Linked DNA regions of Drosophila melanogaster. The protein of the gene in region 1 interacts with the protein of each later gene in a pairwise test. Each region holds a gene or a part of one and is shown on either strand. Other genes may lie near its edges.

Evidence for each region. Proteins that work in one complex are often made in the same cells at the same time.
Region 2: the proteins of Cp15 (region 1) and CG9121 interact in a two-hybrid assay, tested with the Drosophila melanogaster proteins (one large-scale study listed by BioGRID).

Annotation. Positions count from the first base shown.
Region 1 is NT_037436.4:8,726,528-8,729,577, forward strand, and holds Cp15 (chorion protein 15), read left to right. Parts: upstream 1-1,953; 5' UTR 1,954-1,999; coding exon 2,000-2,011; intron 2,012-2,082; coding exon 2,083-2,418; 3' UTR 2,419-2,539; downstream 2,540-3,050. Other genes in the region: Cp18 (chorion protein 18), read left to right, coding at 308-322, 497-1,000. UniProt on the Drosophila melanogaster protein: Chorion membrane (egg shell) protein; plays a role in protecting the egg from the environment.
Region 2 is NT_033779.5:5,047,288-5,052,678, forward strand, and holds CG9121 (uncharacterized protein), read right to left. Parts: upstream 3,689-5,391; 5' UTR 3,591-3,688; coding exon 3,371-3,590; intron 2,962-3,370; exon of another isoform or gene 2,842-2,961; intron 2,794-2,841; exon of another isoform or gene 2,731-2,793; coding exon 1,504-2,730; intron 1,433-1,503; coding exon 1,077-1,432; 3' UTR 531-1,076; downstream 1-530. Other genes in the region: CG44001 (uncharacterized protein), read left to right, coding at 1-192, 256-491; eIF3h (eukaryotic translation initiation factor 3 subunit h), read right to left, coding at 4,026-4,283, 4,350-5,027, 5,368-5,391.

The DNA of each region.
Region 1 (3,050 bases):
TCTCGTCTCTGGTAGACGATGGCGTAAGCACAGACGCCTGCTATCTGGACCGGCCCGAATTGAGAGCCAGCATTTTGGCCAGTGCGGATTCGGCCTGGCTGCACGTCTCCGGCGGCGTCTCAAGATTGCTGGACAAAGAGGCGAGGCCTGGAACTGCGTCTGCGGGAACCCGGAGAGCCGAAACTTGCATCATATTCGTCACGTAAGAGTTGGGCCTCTGCCTGGATCTGGTATAAAAACAAAACATTGCGCCAGAATAAGACATTAGTTACCTTCGCATCGATCAACTAACCAACTCAGCCTCAGAATGATGAAGTTCATGGTAAGCCTTAAGTTCCAATATTGTTTCTATTGACACCTCAACTGAGTCCAGTATGATCCTTTCAATAAAATATAACTACATATTATAATAATTGGATAATATGATTGGATCTTTCTTTTCTAATACACTTCAGTCTAAACCCAAATTAATTGAATTTTTTCTTGAATCCCTTAGTGCATCTGCCTCTGCGCCATCTCTGCCGTTTCGGCCAACTCCTACGGACGTTCCCGTGGTGGATACGGTGGTGCCCCAGTCGGTGGCTATGCCTACCAGGTGCAGCCTGCCCTGACCGTTAAGGCGATCGTTCCCTCATACGGTGGTGGATACGGCGGAAACCATGGAGGATATGGCGGTGCCTACGAGTCGGTGCCTGTGCCCGTGTCCTCTGCCTACAGCGGTGCCAATGTGGGATCTCAGTACTCCGGTTCCGGCTACGGCGGTGCCCCACCAGTTGATGCCCAGGCCATTGCCCTCGCCAAGCTCGCCCTGGCCGCTCCCAGCGCTGGAGCTCCTCTGGTCTGGAAGGAGGCTCCCCGCTACGCCCAGCCCGTCTATCCCCCCACCAGCTACGTGAACCAGGAGTACGGACACAGCGAGAAGGTGAAGGGAGGCTCCGCAGCCGCTGCTGCCAGCTCCGTGGCCGCCGGAAAGAAGGGCTACAAGAGGCCCAGCTACTAAGTGGCAAAACGTTGAACAGTGAACCAAAAACTTACCTGCCCATAAGGAACTAGGTCATAATAATAAAAGCCAAAACATCAAGACTTAAAATTTTGAGTACTGTATTCTTGCTGGGTTTTTAGTTTCGGGCCGAGAATTGAGATCTGCATATCTTAGCTGAATTGGCATAGACTTGCGGTTCATTGCAATGCCAAGCGATACTTTGAGCCAGCAAAAATTTCGTGGTTTCGTAGTTAAATGAAAATGCTGCTTAAAGTGCTAAAGAATAATTCTCATGGCGAATGAAGCTGAAAAGCTAAAACTAAATTCATTTGTGGGGCCACTTTAAAACTATAGTTCGTCAAATAAGCCTTGACTTTTTTAAGTTACCATAAGTAAAGAACCTATTAGATAAAATGAGATTAGATAGAATATAGTTTTGCTTGAAATTATGTTTTTGTAAAATTTCAAAATGATTGAAATACTTTAAAATGTTTTAGTTATAATTTTAAGTTTTGTATGTGACTAGTGGTCACTTTAAAGGGATGATTCTATATAGGTTTTATCAGAAAAACCGGCTGGAACCAGTTCTAGAAGAATCCTCACTTAGACAAGCCAAGTTCCGGACACAACCGACCTGGAAACCATTACCCCCGAGAATGTGGATAATATAAAGTTCAATTCAACAAATTTTGGACTGTATTCGAAAATAAACGCGTTCGTGGTTCCCATTTGGAAGAGTCGCGTGTTCGTAGTGCTATCACTACCCAACACCCGGTAGAATAGCACATCGCGTAACCAAGCGATTTTATAATGGCTTGACAACAAGTACATAAATCAAATGTGAGTATATTCCAGCCGGGCAATTATGAAATGCCATTTCTGGGCTGAAACAGAACAATTAGTGTATATAGGTCACGTAAATGTCCAGGCTAAAATTTGCGTATAAAAGCGAGCGTTTCTGGTCGGTAAATCATAGTTTGATTGATTACCCCAAACCAACAAAACTAAGCACTCACCATGAAGTACCTGGTAAGTTGTGGTAGTCCCCGTGAAGGAGTGGCAGCCAACTGATCCTCCGGATTTCCCCTTTTCACCTTCAGATTGTCTGCGTTACCCTGGCCCTTTTCGCCTACATCAACGCCAGCCCAGCGTACGGCAACCGTGGAGGTTATGGTGGTGGCTACGGTGGTGGCTACGGTCCTGTTCAGCGCGTCGTCTACGAGGAGGTGCCCGCCTACGGACCATCCCGTGGCTACAACAGCTATCCCCGCAGCCTGCGATCGGAGGGTAATGGAGGAAGTGCCGCTGCCGCTGCCGCCGCTTCCGCCGCTGCCGTGAATCCCGGAACCTACAAGCAGTACGCCATTCCCTCCTACGAGTTGGATGGCGCTCGCGGCTACGAGATCGGACACGGCTACGGCCAACGTGCTTACTAATTCTCGCTTCATCGGCAGTGAATTGAACTATCGACTCCTTGCTAAAATCCTCGAGTGGCTGTCATGGCGAAACTCTGAGAATCAGTGAATAAAAGCAGCTTGAACGCAATGGAAAATACCGAAAAGAAATACGTATTGTGTGTTTTGCATTGTGACATACTTTTCAGCGCATTCGGGTTAAGATTTAGCGGTGGGTCATTATTATTATTCCACACACAAGATGGGTTTCAAAGTGGGGCAGCTAGAATATTCACTGCGGCAGATTGTACAATACTATATAGAAGTACTATTGCACTTTAAGCTACAAAGTCGACAGGTTAAGCTTCAGTGACTCAAGAATTTAGTCACCTATGAAACCCTTAGTTTCACTAATAGATTCTTAGACGAACATCTTAAATTGTATAATCAAACAAAGGGCTATATATATTACAATAACATATTTGCCAATGTGCATAAAGGCATAGACTCTGAAGTTATGTTTTATCGTTAAAATTTGGTTTGTTCTGTTTACTTGAAGGTATAGATAATATTATAAAATCCATATCCAATAACCATTGGTCAGTCGTTGGCCCGTTATCCCATTAACCCGCTTGCGTTCCCGCACGCACCCAAATGCAACCATTGATTTTGGG
Region 2 (5,391 bases), on another chromosome or scaffold:
TGGAGCGTGTAAGAGAGTTTATCAAGAAGGGCCAGTCGATGGCTCGCGATGACTGCGACTATACGGCTCTGCACTATGCGGCCCGCAATGGGAACGAGCCCATCTGCAAGCTGCTTCTCGACGAGGGCAAGGCAGACGTGAATGCTGTGACCAAAGCAGGAGCCACCGCGCTGCATCGTGCAGCCATGATGGGTAACAACCATTGCAAATCGCAGTTATGATCAATCAATACTACGAGTTTTAATCTGACGGCAGGCCACTTGGAAATCGTGAAGCTACTGGTCGAGCACAAGGCTAATCTTCTGCTGCAGGACGAGAGCGGACAGACCGCTTTGCATCGAGCAGTGATGCGGGGCCACCTGGAGGTGTGTCGCATTCTGCTGGCAAAGGAGCCAACACTTAAGCTGGTCAAGGATAAAAAGGACAAAATTGCATTTGAGTACATCATGGAGAACGCCAATGATGATTTTAAGCTGCTGCTGAAGCCCTAAAGGGCTTGTCATTCCCCGTTCAACATATTCGTATTCGTTACGGTTTAAATATCTTTGTTTATTGAGTCTGTTAACACGTTTTCTATAAAATTGCACCCGATATCGTTGTAAAATCCTACTTAGAAATTGCATACGTCCTTATTTGTTTGCATTGTGTGCGAGATCGATTGTATATGGGAAAAGTAATCTTAACGTTTGCGTAGTCAAATTAACATAGTGGATACATACATCGTTTAAATCTTCTATATAGACTATATACACATGCCTAGTAAACATAAAATGTGCAAGTAATTTAGTGAAAACTCTGTGCCCAACAGGATGTGCACACGGAACTCGTTTTGAAAAATGCGAGATTTGCGTGAAAATTCTGTTCAAAATTTGTAATACATCGTAAGAAAATTAATATCACATTGGAGTCCGTGTATCGAAGTTGTTAATTAATCTGGCGTTGAAATTGAAATTAAGGAAACTATTGCAGAACCTTCCTACACACTCGTCGCCAATTTACAAAAACTATACGCTACCTATCATTATAGCAAACATATAAAACCTATATAATCTGAAAATAAAATTCCTAAAGCGCAATCAATCCCAAGACTCAGTCCATTTAACAACAGGTATATCGACCGGCTCCATACCCCTCACCGGCGGCAGTTCGTCAAAGTCGCTGAGGTAACGCTTCAAGGTGGCGGGTATGGCGAACTCATCCACAATCCTCCCCAGCGATGACCGCTCCTGAGTGGGAAGATACCTTTCCTGCACCTCCGGCCGCGTTTGCAGGCATCTCAGGAGACTCCGACGAATCTCCAGGCGAGCGAGAGACTGCAAGGAGCGTGGCTGGGTGCCAAGCAAACACATTTCCCGCTCGAATTCCAGCCGCGCTGGTGGCCAGTCCTTGGGCAGGGGTCGGTGCTTGTGCGGAAACTGAAAGCCAGCGTTGCCTATGGACAATAGGAAATGAAAATAACTACCATGTACTTCATAGGAACTAAGATCAGAGTAAGCAACTTACATAGCAACCTGGCAAAGGCCAATCGTGTTGGTGTGCAATTCGATCTGAGCTCATTCACCACATGTTCCCGGCAAATCTGCGCCAGATTGCAGCCCTCGTGGATGAGGAATTCGGCCACCTCCAGGCGGTGCAGGTTGATGGCCCTGGACAACGGAGTGTGACAATAAATCAGGCCACAAACGATTGTCGGAGCACACGAGTCATAGAAATCATTACGAGCGCTGGGCGATTTGGCAAGCAATACACGCAGTATGCGGCTAAACTCCTTAACCCAAAAATTCTGCTGCACGGCAAACAGAACCAAGCCCTCATCGTGGACATCCGAGTAGAGTCCGAGCTTGCGCTGTTCCTCAGCCACGTTCAGCAGATACTCAAGCATTTCGTGACGCCCCCGATGGATGGCCAGCATGATGGGTGTGAAGTTTTTGAGATTCCATACGGACAAACTCTCGCCGTACTGCAGTAGAAGCTCCACCAGTTCCTTGACATTGGACTCAACGGCGAGATGCAGCAGGTGTTGGGAGGCCAGGCGCCGTGCTCCGCGCTCTAAGAGCAACTTGGCCATCTGGGTGTGACGACCCCTCACCGCGTACTGCAAGGCCGTGTGATTCTGCTTGTCCTGGATATTGATGCGAGCACCACGCTTCACCAGCTCTTCAGCTACGTCCAACATGCTGCAGGCAATGGCCGCCATCAGTGGTGTCTCGCCATCATCATCCGTGTCATTGATGTTGATGTTCGTTTGAAGCAGTAGACGGGCAGATTCCGCACACTTGCTTTCGATGGCCATATGAAGCGCCGTCTTGCCATCACTCAGGGTTTTGGCATTCACCAAGGCTCCGTGCTTGATCAGTAGCTCGGTGACACCGGCGAAACCGGCACCCAGATGGAGTGGCGCGTATCCATCGTTATTGAGGACATTGATAGGTGCGTTGTGTTCCAACAGGATGCGCACACACTCCTCGTGACCCCAGTAGGCGGCGTAGTGCAGCGGAGTGGCCACATCGGCATCGTAGAGATGCGGATCATGTTCGCGACAGGAGACACAGCACTGGGATGATATGAACTCTCCGGTGGTTTCGAAGGTTTTCGCATAATACTGATACAATTGGCTATCCTCTTCGCCGCTGCCCGCTCCATTCTCCGCACTATTCTCGAACTCATCCACCCACTCCAGTTTCTCCATACCCTCGGGCGTCCGCTCGATCTCGAGGCTATCCGTGTTCGCTGCAATTCAAAACCAACGTGAAACGTTCTAAGAAAGCAGTTTTTGAAAATCTTTTTGCTAAGACAGTATGAAGTACAGGTTTCAGGTTTGACAAGATTTTCGTTACTTGCCACATAGAACTAGCCGTGTCTACTGTGTCTGGTTGCAGTTGGAACCCATTGTCGAGCATTGTTATCAGCCGGTTAACTGGCCAACCGATAACCGGTTTTCCGGCCTTCACTTACTTTTCTCTGTGCTTGCATTATGTTGGATAGACCCGAAAAGAGAAAAGAATGCACAACAAGAAATTGAGTACGTACAAAATTAACCGACTAAAATTGGATCATTCAACTTAGTGGGAGTATTAAAATTATAATAAATTCTGTATAGTATTATATATACTCCAAAAGTGAACAAACGAACTGGCACTTCATTTAAAATTTTCTTGTATCTAACTAATTCGTTTCCTGGATCCATTGATTATTATTATTATTATTTATGTTTATGTTTTACCTTTGAACAATATACATACACATTATCTAGCTTACCCACAGCATTTTTTTTTCTAATGTTCTCTATGTGTTTGTTTTTAATGCAATTAAATTTTCCGAAAGTTAGTTTCGTTTGTTTTCAGAACGAACCAGTGGAAGGAAAACTCACACTGATGAAAGACATTCAGCTCGGGCTCCTCGCAGGATTGAAGCAGCAGCTCCAACAGTTCGGCATCGCCCAGAATGGCCGCCGTGCCCACGGCAGTGCGTCCGCAAGTGGGCGATACATACGAGGCCTGGGCACCTTGCATGATGCAGCCCAGAGCCTGCTCGAAATCTCCGCTCTGTACGGCGGTTAGCAGGCGTTCGTTGAGGTCGTAGGACAGCATTTTGCCATCGGGTTAGTAATTTAGTTAGTTAGGCTAACTGAAGCTGGTTAGCGAAAAGGCGAAGCGAAAAGAACAAACCAAATGATAAGCAGCTGCTTGTGGGGTGGTGTGAAAAGTGCGTCGATGTCGTCAGTGGCAGCAACACTCCCCCGGAAAGTCTCATCGAGAAGTGAAACCAAACATCCGGCGTGCGCAGAAGCAGTACCAATTTTTGGCTGCATAGCGGGTGGTGGTTTTCTTTTTTTGGGGCGGTTTGAATTGGCCATTCTATTGAGCAAATGGAGAGTACAATAAAGAAGAAATCAGCTGGCAGTTCGCTTCCAAGCCCACTCATCGCTTGTTTGGTTTATTTTCGACGTCTGTGTGTGCAGTTGCTATGTTTGTGGGTAGTGAATGTTGTTGCCTCAGCTTAAAAAACGCTTAACATTAGCTAATCTATTTGGTTTCCTTTGCTTCCTTGGCAATTTGCAGCGATTCCGTGATGAAGAGTTTGGCCAGCGATTGCGAACAGAATTGTGCGATATGCTGGGCGTGGGTATTGATCTGGCCAGAGGTTATGGTGGCCGTCAGGCGGTTGGGCGCAGTCATGGGGCGGAACTGTTTGATCACTTCCTCCTCTGGCACCGTGGGCTCTCCCTTCGATGTGCGAACGGCGTTCTCGGCGGCCAGCTTAGCCAGAGCACGGTGCTTCTCCTAAAAAATATAAATGCAAGGAAAGCGATTAGGAATTTTTACATATTTAATTATATTGCTACGTACCGTATCCTGCTTGAAGACCACCTGCTGGTACTTGTTATAGCGCACTGCCTCCTGGTACAACTCGTCGACGCGCTCGATCAGGCTACGCATTTGGTTCTCCAATACGGTGGCGGTGCCCAGGTCCAGGAAGTTGTGCCCCTTGTCCTCGGGCAGCAGCTCGTTCAGCTCGCTCATCATAATGTTGGTCAGCGGCGAGTTCTTGATCACAATGGGAATCTCGGCGAAGAGGTTCTCGTAGCCGACCTTCAGGGTGCGGAATGCCTCTGGAGTGAAGTCGCCATCCTTGTACATCTGAATGGCCTGCGGAGTAAGGCGGTAGGCCTTCAAGCACAGGAATCCGCGGGATGACTTCTGCGTATCGTAGACGACAACGACGGACTCTTCAATGCTGGTCTGGTAGTGGTACTGCGATTCCAACAGAGCCATTGACAGGCTGTTGCCCACGTCGGAGCTCTGGTACCAGCCCACATGGAGATGATCTACGTTGACGCGACGCAGGCGACGCATCACGGTCAGCTGGTACATCTCCTCGTCCATGGTCTCATCGCCGCTCTTGGGAAACGGGAAGCAGTTGGTGATCTCCAGGCACTTGTCTACCACCAGACCGAGCAGGGCGCCCTGGGCGAGGTCCATGTTGCTCGACTCCTCATGGCAGTGCTTCACCATCTTCATGACGGCCTGCAAGGTAAAGTGATCGTAGTAATTATGTTCCAAAATCAATTAGCGACAGACAACTATTTGCATTTGAACAGGGGCGTGGAAAGTAGATATATTTCGGACTTTCTTTTAATAGTTTCTCTGAAGAAAACATTTGACTGAAGTTTTTTGTGCTATGGTAATGAAGAGACCGGCCCCCTTTTCCTTATAGCTCTACGCCCATGTCCTCACGAACACCCATACAAACACACACAAAGCACGCAAATTTCTGAGACAGCGCGTGGCATTAACTTTTCCGGCTTTCGCGCCGGTTCCCACGGGCCAATCTCGGCCAGGTCTTTTGGCCAACAGCACTACTCACCAGTCCGTCGCATTGGACGTAGTT